Arabidopsis thaliana: one gene and its partner. The protein of the gene in region 1 purifies or fractionates together with the protein of each later gene. This does not show direct contact. Each region holds a gene or a part of one and is shown in the gene's direction. Other genes may lie near its edges.

Region 1 (6,339 bases):
AAAAAAAAAAAAAAGTTTTGTTTGGGGAAGTAGATAAAAGAAATTGAGCCAAGAACTCTCAAAGTTAATCAAGGTCCCACGAGTGGCCAACTATCCGCACTTTAATTGCTAACTTCACTTAAAACTATGTCGCTAACCTTTTAATTGACACAAACACATTTGGGGAAACTCATAATCTTTGATGTGACCGGTAAAGCAAAAGTTTTGGGCTTTTTACCAGATGTCTGATCTCGCATTTGGCCCGACCCCGCAATTTTGGGCTTCTAAGATAAGGTCAGGCCCGGCTTTAAGGCACAATGTAAGCCCAGCAGTTCAAAGGTTGATCCGACATTAATTTGGTAACGGAGGAATCTCAACTTAAATGATAAGCATTTACGATCCGAGCTGACGACTCGTAACGTGCGAAGTTAATGAGGCGAGATCCGCGGCGTGAAGTCAGCGAATCATTTAACTCGTTTGATTCGATGTATTTGTATAAATAAGAGTCAATTGACATTGTAAAAGGGGATACACATTGTACTGAAACTATACTGAAATACATAAATACTTTTCACTTGATCACTGTTCGTCTAACAAGATTTAAGACCTTCACGAAACAACCACAAAATTCTAATTGCGGATTACGACATCCACACAAATCAAATAAAGATAATCTCAGATATGATGGAATAGTACTAGTACTTGATAGTGATTTTGATTGTCAAATTTTGTAAAGAGCAAAAAAATTGAAGTCTAGAATGAAAGATGACTCATATGTTTCGACCAAGCTAGTCATGAACACAAACAAGAAGAGAAATGATTAGTTCGTGATTGAGAGATTATGAATATTCATAATGTTCTAAAACGGTTTATGTGGTCCCCTAAACATTATGCAGCCACAAACCGTGACAATCATTTTTTCGGACATTGAAATTAGACATTTTAGTTTTGACTGGCCTTCGGCAATATTAGGTACATAATTATCAAAGTTAACATGACTCCAAAAATTAACATATGTTTTTTGATTTAAATGATTTGATGGTAATATTAAGGTTTTCATGTCTTAGAGCAATTTTATTTGTGGTTTCTAGATATAAGTTTCTTAACATTAAAACAACAAAAATAATATTATCTAACTATGTGAGTTTCTTGAATAGTTAAGAAATTCTCTCCAAAATTTCCTATATAAGGTATTTTAGAGATGACTTTTTCACTAATCAAAAAGCCCACACATTCTTTTATAATAAATTTTCTTTCTTTAAAATAAAAGACTTATGTTTAGAAATCATCAATGAGATTGTTCTTATGTTCCAAGTGCTCCAACATCGACTTTCAAGATAATAGTCTTTGTGGTTAAGATGACAATAATTCGATTAATTTTGGGTGTGAGTCGTGTGACTATCCCACGAAAATAAAATTGTTTTGCCAATTTGATGGTAAAATCTCACGATAAAAACTCAAACAATAACAGCCTACCAAAAAAAAAACTCAAGACCATAACATGTTAAATTTAAATAAATAAATATATTTTTGGTTTCAATAATATTGTCGTAGAAGTTTTAAAATATTTTAGAGATAAAAATAAAAAGAAACACATTGATTAATTACAAAAGTTAGGGGCTCCTTATACCTTTTTTTTTTTCATCAAGGGGCTCCTTATACTAAAACAATAAAATAGAGGGGGCGAATACAAAAACACGATTTTAGAGACCTAAAGCTTTGAGCTTTCGACGAGAAACTTTCTTCTCTCTCTCTCTCTCCGCCATTGTTCGTTCCCTCTCCACGGTAATCTATATCCACCCGTCGTCAATCGGAACTTTACGAACTCCTTATCAATCGTATTTTCACTTTCCAATTCTGAGTTCTCTTCTCGTTTCGTCCTCTCTTCCTCCGTATCCACGGGTCTCGCTTTCGGTTTCTAGGGTTTCGCGGTTCTGATCACAAGTTCTGCTTCAATTGTAAGCGATTTGATCGCAAGTAGCTGTTAAATCGGTGCGTAATTCAACTTTTGAAATCTCAAGGTTTAGTCTCTGCAATTCTGATTTTGAACACAGCTAGCTAGTAGCAGATTTAAGAGTTCGTCAAATTAGGATTTTGGGTTTGTTTGGGTCCCTTTCTCACCGAAGTTCTGTATGGCGGCTGGGAGGAATATAAGATATCCAGACCATGAACTGAGAGACCAGGAATCGAATTCTAGATTTTCCAGGCGGGATAGTGCTTATGCGAACGAGGATTATAATCATGTTAGGAACGGTGCTATTGATAATGGAAAGGGACGGGTTAGTAATCTAAGACACGGGGATAGAGATAGAATTAAGTCTGGAGCTAGACAGGAAGAGAACAAAATGGTTAGTAGTGGGTTTCGGTTATCGAAGAGCAATCCAGGTAGTAGAGAAGTATTTATCGATCTTGGTCCTAAAAGATGCGGGTTTTCAGCTAGGTCTGTGGACAGGGAACCAGGCGAGCTCTCTAGTGAGAGTGGGTCGGATGATTTGATTGAGTCGGAATCACTGGCGAAAGTTAATGGAGTTGTGAAGGAGGTAGAGAATAGAGCTCAAAGTCCTGTGGAAAAGAAGAGAAAGTTTTCACCAATAGTATGGGATAGGGATGACCATGAGAGAAGTAATTTGAGCAGAAATGAAAAACCTGTGGAGGTCACTCCTCTTCCTCCCCCACCACCACTAGTTAAGAGGTCAAGCCAGTCACCTAGTGTCAGTTGTGGTGGTAATTCTCATTATTCACCTGCAAAGAGTGACATGCATCAAGATCCTGTGGAAGTTGGTGTTTCTGCGGTTTCTATGCCTGCTTTGTCACCTTCGGTAGAGATGTCCTCTTTGTGTGTGGTAGAACAGTCATCAAATGCTGAGCAGGATGACAAACAAGAGCATGCAACACACCTGGAAGAGGATGAAAACATGCCAACACGGCATATATCATCCTCTAGGTGGGCTGCTGGTAATAGTTCTCCAACTGATGAAGTTGAAATAGTAGAAGAAGTTGGGGAAAAGAAAAGGAGGAAGAAACCATTTCCCGTGCAGGGGAGATTTCGCAATACCTCTCAAACACCTGAGGTCGGGGAGTTAGTGAGGGAAGGTTATAGATCATCTGATTCCGATGAAAGGGGGCACCATTCTTTACCGGGAAGCAGAGATGATTTTGAGGAGAGAGATGCTGTTAAGAGTGACAAGATGGAAATAGATGAGGAGGAACACAGAAGAGAAAACTCTGTTGACAGCCTTAGTGAAACAGATTCAGATGACGAATATGTACGGCATGAGACACCTGAACCTGCCAGTACTCCACTGAGAAGTATAAACATGCTCCAGGGTTGTAGAAGTGTTGATGAATTTGAGAGGTTAAATAAGATCGATGAAGGTACTTATGGTGTTGTTTATAGAGCAAAGGATAAGAAGACAGGCGAAATTGTGGCATTGAAGAAGGTGAAGATGGAAAAAGAAAGAGAAGGTTTTCCATTGACTTCTCTTAGGGAAATTAACATCCTCCTTTCTTTTCATCATCCATCAATAGTGGATGTTAAAGAGGTGGTCGTGGGTAGCAGCCTTGATAGCATATTCATGGTGATGGAATACATGGAACATGATCTTAAAGCATTGATGGAGACAATGAAGCAGCGTTTTAGTCAAAGTGAAGTTAAGTGCTTAATGCTTCAACTTTTAGAGGGCGTCAAGTATCTTCACGACAACTGGGTGCTTCATCGAGATTTGAAAACATCTAACCTGCTTTTAAACAATCGGGGTGAGTTGAAGATATGTGACTTTGGTTTGGCTCGGCAATATGGCAGCCCGCTCAAGCCTTATACTCATCTGGTTGTTACGCTTTGGTACAGGTAAAGTGCGTTTTTACCCTATTCTTGTTTATAAAAAAATTAAGTGGTGTTTACATTTACGATTGTTATTTGAATTCTGGTGGACTTTCTTGTTTTTTTTTGGCCATTGTTAGTATAACATTAGGTGCCACGTCTCCTTTCTGGTATAGCTGTACTACACCGTACTCCCTTTTCTATTTCTGCACATTAGGATCAATGATTTTAAAGTCCTGTTTTTAAATGGTGTTCCAAGGTATCTGATATTTGTTCCAATGGCACCACAAACTTGAGTTTTGTGACTGCCTTGGATCCTTATCTTTCCTCTTTGAGAATAGTCTTCATAATATGCCAGCTTAGCCATTAAATACTTAACACTTTTGCGGTATTTGCTTGGACACCACGTACCATGAACCAACGTAATCTGGGCACATTAGGAAATATACGTGCTTCAACTTCCTTGACTTGTTTTGTTCCTTGTGTTGACTCTCCCTTCTTGTTTTAGCAATAATCACTTCCTCCGGGACCAAGCCCAACGACTGCATTTGTTTTTCCAGGGCACCTGAACTTCTCTTGGGAGCAAAACAATATTCTACAGCCATTGACATGTGGTCACTGGGCTGTATCATGGCAGAACTATTAATGAAGGCGCCATTGTTCAATGGGAAAACGGAGTTTGATCAACTTGACAAGGTATTTTAAACATCGGTTTTGATTTGGATCTCCAGCCATCCTGGGACCACATACAGCTTATAAATTACTCCTTCTTTAATTTACAGATTTTCAGAATCCTTGGTACTCCCAATGAATCTATTTGGCCTGGGTTCTCTAAACTACCTGGAGTCAAGGTCAACTTTGTCAAGCATCAGTAAGTATTTATAGTTCCTTTTATTTTCAGTTTATATGGAAGGATAACCTTAGTATATGCTTAAAGTCTCTAATATTGTTCCCAGGCTTTCTAGCTTTAGATGATGTGGTGTGGCTCTCTGACTCATTAGTGGATTTATATTGTTTTCATAGTTGTTATGTCACTCTTCTCACCGCTTACCTGTACTTTTAGGTATAACCTATTACGTAAGAAATTCCCAGCCACTTCGTTCACTGGTGCACCAGTTCTGTCCGATGCTGGGTTTGACTTACTGAACAAGCTCCTAACGTACGATCCTGAAAGGGTAATAGAAAATATATATCTGTTGCATGCATGTTAATCCAGTATGCACCTTAATTGTTCCTTGACTTTTGGATCTCTGTGGCTTCTTCTGCAGAGAATAACTGTTAATGAAGCTCTAAAGCATGATTGGTTCCGCGAAGTCCCTCTGCCAAAATCCAAAGATTTCATGCCTACTTTTCCTGCTCAACATGCCCAAGACAGGTACTGAGGTCTATCTAAACTGAAACGATCAGTGGTTGACTTTAATTCTGTCTCTTACTTTTTCTTCTATGCCTAGGCGTGGGAGGAGAATGGTAAAGAGCCCTGATCCTTTGGAAGAGCAACGTAGGAAGGAATTAACGCAAACCGAACTTGGGTCTGGCGGTCTGTTTGGCTGAAGTACAGCACACCGGTCGAAGATAGCAGTTGGAATACAACCTTGATATTCTCAAATACCTTGGAATTACCACATTTTAGGCGAGGGCTGCTGCTTAAGCGGAGGTTGGAATATTTGTATCTCAGAATATCATTCATGCTTTCTTTATTCACTTTGAGGGTCCGTGGTGATTTGTGAAGATGATTTTCCTCCTTTCGCCACTGAGAATCCTTGCAGGTTTAATGTGTTCACAAGCTAGGCTGGCCAGTTAGTGCTATGGCTTTCTGACAGTGCTTGTTTTGTAAGACAATCTCCAATGTATAGCTCTATATCTTACTCTAAAATAGAGTTGCTTTCTCTCCAATGTATATTTCTATTTTCTAGTCTAAAAAAGAATATTTTTAGAAATATTCTATTTCTATTTATATACTAATACCTTTTAATTATATAATTTACAATTTACTCCATATGTTATAAATTTGCAAATTGCCATAAAATATGATATTATTTATAAAAAATCCAAATGTTCGGACATATTTTGAGAGTGAACAAGTATGGATTTTACAAAAACGACGAGTCCAACAACAGGATCAAGATCAAGAAACTCCTCCTCCATCTAGTACAATATAGCTTTGTACACTCTTCACGTAACCAAGTTAAGAGAGGCTCGCGGGAAAAAAAAAAAAAAAAAAAGTTAAGAGACGCTCATGTAAGTATATCTTCTCCTATCAATTGAAGAATCTCACTATATGGCAGAAGGTAAAAAAGCTATGCAATAATGCATGATACACCAACCCTTTTTTTTTTTGGTCATTCAGTACCGAAAACTACAGTCTTGCCGAGTACAAAAGTAACTAGAGAGAGCTCAATGAAGAATATTGTGTTTATCAAATGCCTGTCTACTGTCCACCCGAATATCGTTATCCCGCCTGGATTCATCTGCAAATACAACACTGCAACATATCATCTAATTAGCTATCATCATATCTGAGTTTAGCTGTAAAGGTACAA
Region 2 (6,998 bases), on another chromosome or scaffold:
GATGAAAGCGTGTCTCTTTTCGTTCTTGAATTCTTTTTTAACCTCTTCCTCAGCTTGCATAGGCGATGGCTCGGGGTTTGGACCCGCAAGATTTTTCATGGTGTCCATCTTGAAAATCTCTAACCCGTTAAGAGATGAATCATAATATTCCGGTTGACCAAAAGTTGATGGAGTCATCTGAAGTGTAATCTCTTCGCCTCCGTTGTTGGCATCAACATATATCGCGTAGTCTTTGTACATCGGGATTCCTTTCTCTCCTGTCCACCCTATTATATCTGCAGGAGTAGTATCTGCCTGCGCTGTTCTGTTATTGATGTAAATGTTGAAAACCTTCTGGTTGATCTTGGAAAGCTGGAATTCGCAGAAATGGAGTCTCAAAATGTAGGTGAAGTTCTTATCGATTTGGAACATCCATGTAAGATTGGATTTGAGGTTGATATCTCCGTTTGGGCCTTGAGATCTTGCGGTTTTGTATATATCGGCTGGAGCTATAGACACCGGCATGTTCTGGTAGTTGATCCTAAAATTGTTGCTTGCTTGAAGTGTAACACCAAGACCCGCACTAAAGATGTAAGGTGCATCATTATACCAAGTTCTTGTCAACCCACCGGAGTCTTGGCTTCCAGGGATGTCCTGACCACCAACATTAAGTCTAAACATTGACTGAAGATTCGCAGTCTTGGCATCCATTGTTTGGTCTGTGAAACCAACAAGAGCCGCCGTGTCAAACAATTCCGGCATCTGAATCACCTCGATACCGTTTATAAAGGCAAATGCGTCTCGGTATTTATCTGAAGGGGTAAACTTGATGCTCAAAACATCTTTGTCAGTGGGTGCAAGAGAGTATTCTTTAACCAGATAAGCTTGAGTCAAAGCTTGACACGTAATCGCGGCGCTGAAATTGCTCAGTAAGGTAACATCGTTAGCTTCCACAGTGAAATACGAGTTGGAAATGTTGAGACCGGTGTATGTTGATGGGTAGAAATATAACCGAAGCAAATGTCTTTTATCTCCTTTAATCGGGATTTCATAAGTTGCTGGAGCTGTAAAGATTCTGGCTGTCATATAAGGAACTGTTGAGAGAAGTGAAGGGTCTTGATATGTAGCCGTTGCGTGAATTGAGTTTCCAGTCTTTAAAAACTTTGTATCTGGTTCCCATTTTTTCTTATCTTGGTCAGCAGAAGCTTCTGATGTCCCGCAGCTCAGAGCTAAATCTTGTCCGTTAGATCTAGTTGGAAAAACCAATAGAAAGGAGAGACATGTGAGGAAAAAGAGAATCCGAGTTTTCCCGCTCATGGCTGACACATCAACGGGTAGAGACTCTTTGCCTTAAACAAAAAATGAGGAGAGAAAAGCTTTCTTTTTTGTAAGAATTAAGATCACTTTTACGCTTGTGGACAAAATTAGAAGTTTATTTCTTATTGTCTCTGTAACCTAACCATAGAAAGTCAGGACTTGCATGGATGAACAAGAAGCAAAAACCTTGCAAGAAAAAAAAAAACAAGGTACACACTCTTTTTTCTTTTCTATTTTCTCGTTTTGTCTAGTTTTTTTTTGTTTGTAATTATGAGGTTACTGGTGTTTTTCTCATTTTCCGTCGTTCTGTCTGAAAGAGAAACAAAATTAGTTAGAAAAATTCGTGGTGGAGAGGATTACCCGAACAAGCTATGTTTAGCATATAGTTAGAGAAACTGAAAAGACTTTTGTTCTTTGACTACAACATGAAAATTCATGTAATCTAAATATAGAACTCTTAGACCATATTGTTTCAATAACATTATTACAAACTTTTGAAAGTTTGACTTGATAGAGATAGACTACGACATGTTTTGAAACTCTTTTCTTAGAATGGTCAAGGATCTAAACAAAGAAAGTCCCTAAAGATCTGGATGAATCAATCGTCAAATTTTAAGCAATGGAAGAAAATAGCTTTTTGACTTTTATCCATTACATAGATCAATGGTGGAAACTAGTTTGTTATTCTCCATTAAAGCACTAAGAGTCTCTTCAAAGTTTATCTGGTCGGGTTGGGAAAAATCCAACTAGAGAAGAGCATAAAAGTAGACATCTGATCAACCCGACCCATAATAACCTTTTTTTGTTGGCCGCGTAATATGTTCGAGCGCGGCCATCACACTAAGAACATTCATAAAAAAAAATCCACAGGATTCAAAGCCCTTAAGCTTTGATCATAGTCTCTTAAAGAGGTAGTAAAACCATAAACTAGAGCCCCAATTTGCATTCACAAGCCACCTAACACATTAGCTTCTGGTCATTTCTGCTTTATATACACATCAAGTAAAAAATGGTGAGAAGAAGAGAAGGTCTTACATTGCCAATCATAAAACCGGCGCTTCCCGAGGTCAGATCAGCAGCGACAACGCCGGTGGCCTCACAGAAACCAAAACATCGTTTATCGAAACAACTATCTATGTGTGAAACACCAAGAGACGTTGCTTGGGAAAGAAGAAGGCGTCAGATGATAATGATTCAAGAAAAGAAGCTGCTTCATAAGGGCGCTTCAGACAATCTTTGTATACAGGCGAATCTAACGGATGAAGATTTAAACGAGCTAAAAGGATCGATTGAGCTAGGTTTCGGTTTCAATGAAGAAGCAGGACAAAAGCTTTGTAATACATTACCAGCTCTTGATCTTTACTTTGCAGTGAATCGTCAGCTCTCGCCTCTTCCTTCACCTAGCAGCAGCCGTAGCAGCAGTGCATCTGCGTCAACTTTCTCATACAGTATACCTTGTAGTCCAAAGAAAACTGATTCAGATTCTGTTAAAATCTTATGCCCAGGTATCTAAACTCATGTTTTTGGTATTTTGTTTTGAATGCAATAACATTTATAAACTAATGGTTTAATATGATCTTTTTTGGCAGGGGACGATCCTCAACAAATGAAGCAGAGGTTGAGACATTGGGCACAAGCAGTTGCATGTTCTGTTATGCAGTCTTATTGAAGATTATAAGCACTCAGATTTTCTTTTGAGAGATAGGAAGAAGCGAATCTTTTACAATTAGGATTCGAAAGAAACAAAAAACAACTAGAAAATTTTGGAGAAAAAGAGATGAAAATTGTGGCTCTGTATATAACTCACAAGATGAGAGAAAGAAAAAGAAAAACACCTCTTGTTCATAAGCTGTAATGATGTATACAAAAAAAAAGATTACAATATGATCTTGGATTGGATAATAAAATGAACTTTTTTCTAGATAATCGATTCTTAAACTGAAAATAAGCCCATTTTGATCTAACGTTAGAATGAAAATGAAGAGATTTGAGAAGTCAGGGTGTATTTTTTACAAAACGTATTATTGGGTGTATTTTGTAATAGTTAAATATATGAGGGTCTAAGATTCAAATTTATTAAAAGATAACCAAAAAAAAACCTCTGGAATCTTCTTAAAACCTAGAAGCCTCCGACTCCGACCAACTGAAAAATTAAAAGGCAAAAGCTTTTTTTCAGATTTCTGATAATCAGACAGACAGACACAAACAAACACCGGTATCGACGAACGGAACTAACTCCGATATCCAAAACCCACTCCAAGTTTCACGAACGAAGGGCTTAGTATCTGCCATGGCTCCTGATGCTTCTACTGCTCTTGCAGGTATGCTCTTTTCTATATTTTAGAATGATGTATCGATCTCTGTCTTTTGAATGCGTATGAACTATAGATTCCTTGATGGGCTCTCTTAGTTTTCTTTAGCTGAATTGATCTTATGGTGAAGTTTCGATTTTTTCTTCCTCTGCTGCCTTTTCTTCTTCCTTTTGTGAAATTTTCGTTGGCTATAATGTTTCGGCTATGGCCATTACTAGAACTGTAGAAACTCAAATACTAATTGAAAATTTTCTTTAATTTGGTATAAGTAGATTAGAATTGAAGTTGACACTTGGTAGTTTGAATCTCTAATTATAATTTTTGTTTTCGTTTCATCTTTGGATTCTTACTCTAGCGAGGGAGAAAGTTCAGCAAATCCTGAATGCAGCTTGTACCGGAAATCTCGAATTCCTTAAGAGTGAGTGCTTTATTTACTTTTCGTTTCTCTGTTTTCTTTGAGCAGTTATATGTTTTGTGTACTGATTATCACTTCTCCAAGCAGATGTTGCTAAGCAGCTTGATGAAGGAAAAGACTTGACGAAAACTGTGGAGAGTATTAAAGACGCAAACAAACGTGGAGCGCTTCACTTCGCTGCGAGAGAAGGACAAACTGAAATATGCAGATATCTTTTGGAAGAACTGAAACTCAATGCTGATGCAAAAGATGAAACTGGTTTGTGTTTCCTTGTGTTTTACAATTTGCAGAACTTTTCTATATATGTGAAAGTTGATCACTGAGATTGTTATGATTTGGTAGGTGATACTCCGCTTGTTCATGCTGCGAGGCAAGGACAGATTGAAACGGTTAAGTATCTTTTAGAGCAAGGAGCTGATCCCAATATAGCTAGTGAACTAGGAGCCACAGCTTTGCATCATGCGGCTGGGACAGGTTGGTTATCAATTGCTCTGTCTTTTTTTATTTCACTCTCTTGGGTCATGAAGTGTTCTGTTTTACTTATATAGCTTCTCTCTATACATCTATTAGGAGAAATCGAGTTGCTAAAGGAATTGCTCTCTAGAGGTGTTCCTGTTGATTCTGAAAGTGAATCTGGCACGCCATTAATCTGGGCTGCTGGCCACGACCAAAAAAATGCTGTGGAAGTCTTGTTAGAACACAATGCCAATGTAAACTTTGTGTATATCTCTATTTGATTATCTGTCTAAAACCGTACTTTCTTATAAACCTATAACCTTTTTGTTGATGACTCTGCAGCCTAATGCTGAGACTGAAGATAATATCACACCGTTATTATCTGCAGTGGCAGCGGGTTCTCTGTCATGCTTAGAGTTGTTGGTCAAGGTTTAACATCTTCTTAACATCCTCTAGTATTGCGTTGGTTCAGCTGCCAAATATCTTAAATCAGAGCTAACAAAAAATTGTTCTTTTTGTAATCACAGGCAGGTGCCAAAGCTAACGTTTTTGCTGGTGGTGCAACTCCATTGCACATTGCGGCTGATATTGGAAACCTTGAGTTAATTAACTGTTTACTTAAAGCCGGGGCTGATCCGAATCAGAAAGATGAGGTAAAACCAACTTGGAAATCAGTTCATATGCAAGAACCTGTTCCCTTGTTCATATGGTACGACATGAATACAATCTTGTGGTACTATACTGATTCTACTGTAAACTCGATTATTTTTAGGAGGGTAATAGGCCATTAGAAGTTGCAGCTGCTAGAGACAACAGAAAGGTTGTTGAGATCCTCTTCCCATTGACAACAAAACCAGAAACTGTTTCGGACTGGACAGTAGATGGAATTCTCGCTCACATGGAATCAAACAAAGTAGGCATATCAGATCTTTCCTGGCATTAGTGTCGGATATTTCGATATTTTTTGTCTGAAACAACTTAACATTTTCAGGAACAAGAGGAAAACTCAAACAAGGCGAAATCCCAAGAGACTGGGATCAAGAAAGATCTTCCTGTGGTACTTCATACTTTGATCAATATGCATTTCTCTTTCAACAAATTGTTTAAAGTACTTAAAGATAACCATTTTTAACTTCCACAGGTCTCCCCAGAAGCAAAGGCAAAAGCCGCAGAAGCAAAAGCCAGAGGACAAGACGCCTTTCACAGAAAGGATTTTCAGATGGCTATTGATGCTTATACACAAGTATTCTACTCTAAAACTTCTTCTGAAATCAAAACAAGATTCTTAATTTTTGCCTATATGTGATTTTGTGGTTTGTTTGAACACAGGCAATTGATTTTGACCCAACGGATCATACCTTATTCTCAAACCGAAGCCTCTGCTGGTTGCGACTAGGACAAGCTGAGCATGCCTTATCTGATGCTAAAGCCTGCAGAGAACTAAACCCAGATTGGCCTAAAGGTTGCTTCAGAGAAGGCGCTGCTCTGCGTTTGCTACAGGTAAAAAGCATCTACAATGCCACTAAAAATCTTTGATCTCTTAACGTTGAAACTGTATGACTCACCGAGTTTCTCATGAATCTCCAGCGGTTTGACGAGGCAGCCAATGCTTTCTACGAGGGAGTATTGCTTAGCCCTGAAAGCAAAGAGCTCATTGATGCTTTCAGGTTCGTAAGAAACACTTATGGTGTTGATTTTTATCGGTTGGTATTGGGTTTTCGAGATAGATGATGTTGTTTTTTTGTCTATTTCTTCTACAGAGAAGCTGTAGATGCCGGAAGGAAGTTTCACGGCAAGGGTGAGGTTAAGGCCAAATCATAAGATCTTCGAGAGATGGTTTATGTAGTATATGTATGAAGTTTTGATCTACTTCTTACCTTTGTTCTCCCTTGTGCACTATTCTTAGGAACAAAGTTTTGTTTGTGGTCGAATTTGGTAATTTGTCCGAGTTTACAGCTTAGATAAAAAAGAGTTGGTAATACATTAGACTGATTTTGAAACTTTTCTTATATTTACAAACAAAAATTTAATTACGAAAATCAATATCAAGAAACAACCAAACAAAATCTTTACTTCGTCTCAACAATAATTTTTCCTTCAAGGAGAGCTAGTATACTTGTGTTCAAGCTTAAAATGACATACGAACAACGATAGTGTTTAATCACAACGTAATATTAGAAAAATATCGAAGTTAAGACATTAAATCTGAAAAATAGTCTACGATAAAAAGATGAAGATATGTCTTACAATGACTTCAAACCTAAGGTGCCGAAACTTTAGCACATTCACACACAAAAATCCTAAAAATTAGCAAGTAGAACCTAACTTTTACTTCTTTCCTTGAGAAACAAGTTAAAGCCCAAACTCAACCAAAACCTTAATACGACTCTTGACACCGAACCCTAAACTTACGACTCTTGACACCGAACCCTAAACATACGACTCTTGACACCGAACCCTAAACATCCGCCTTAGCATGAAACTCCTTTCTTTTGGGGGCTCATCTCCACCGTTTATGT

What was found.
Region 2: the proteins of AT1G67580 (region 1) and TPR10 purify together in Arabidopsis thaliana (affinity purification with mass spectrometry, with the first as the bait; one large-scale study listed by BioGRID). This does not show direct contact.

What each region holds. Positions count from the first base shown.
Region 1 is NC_003070.9:25,326,738-25,333,076, reverse strand, and holds AT1G67580 (Protein kinase superfamily protein), read left to right. Parts: upstream 1-1,615; 5' UTR 1,616-2,111; coding exon 2,112-3,826; intron 3,827-4,359; coding exon 4,360-4,495; intron 4,496-4,581; coding exon 4,582-4,670; intron 4,671-4,862; coding exon 4,863-4,974; intron 4,975-5,067; coding exon 5,068-5,174; intron 5,175-5,250; coding exon 5,251-5,350; 3' UTR 5,351-5,795; downstream 5,796-6,339. Other genes in the region: AT1G67570 (zinc finger CONSTANS-like protein (DUF3537)), read right to left, coding at 6,139-6,281.
Region 2 is NC_003074.8:1,274,643-1,281,640, forward strand, and holds TPR10 (ankyrin repeat family protein), read left to right. Parts: upstream 1-2,025; 5' UTR 2,026-2,305; coding exon 2,306-2,801; intron 2,802-2,885; coding exon 2,886-2,947; coding exon of another isoform or gene 2,948-2,965; exon of another isoform or gene 2,966-3,182; intron 3,183-3,385; exon of another isoform or gene 3,386-3,472; coding exon 3,473-3,617; intron 3,618-3,963; coding exon 3,964-4,026; intron 4,027-4,110; coding exon 4,111-4,281; intron 4,282-4,365; coding exon 4,366-4,497; intron 4,498-4,593; coding exon 4,594-4,733; intron 4,734-4,821; coding exon 4,822-4,908; intron 4,909-5,006; coding exon 5,007-5,132; intron 5,133-5,251; coding exon 5,252-5,392; intron 5,393-5,470; coding exon 5,471-5,536; intron 5,537-5,620; coding exon 5,621-5,722; intron 5,723-5,808; coding exon 5,809-5,979; intron 5,980-6,066; coding exon 6,067-6,146; intron 6,147-6,239; coding exon 6,240-6,300; 3' UTR 6,301-6,476; downstream 6,477-6,998. Other genes in the region: ANX1 (Malectin/receptor-like protein kinase family protein), read right to left, coding at 1-1,296; AT3G04700 (carboxylate clamp-TPR protein (DUF1685)), read left to right, coding at 2,306-2,801, 2,886-2,965.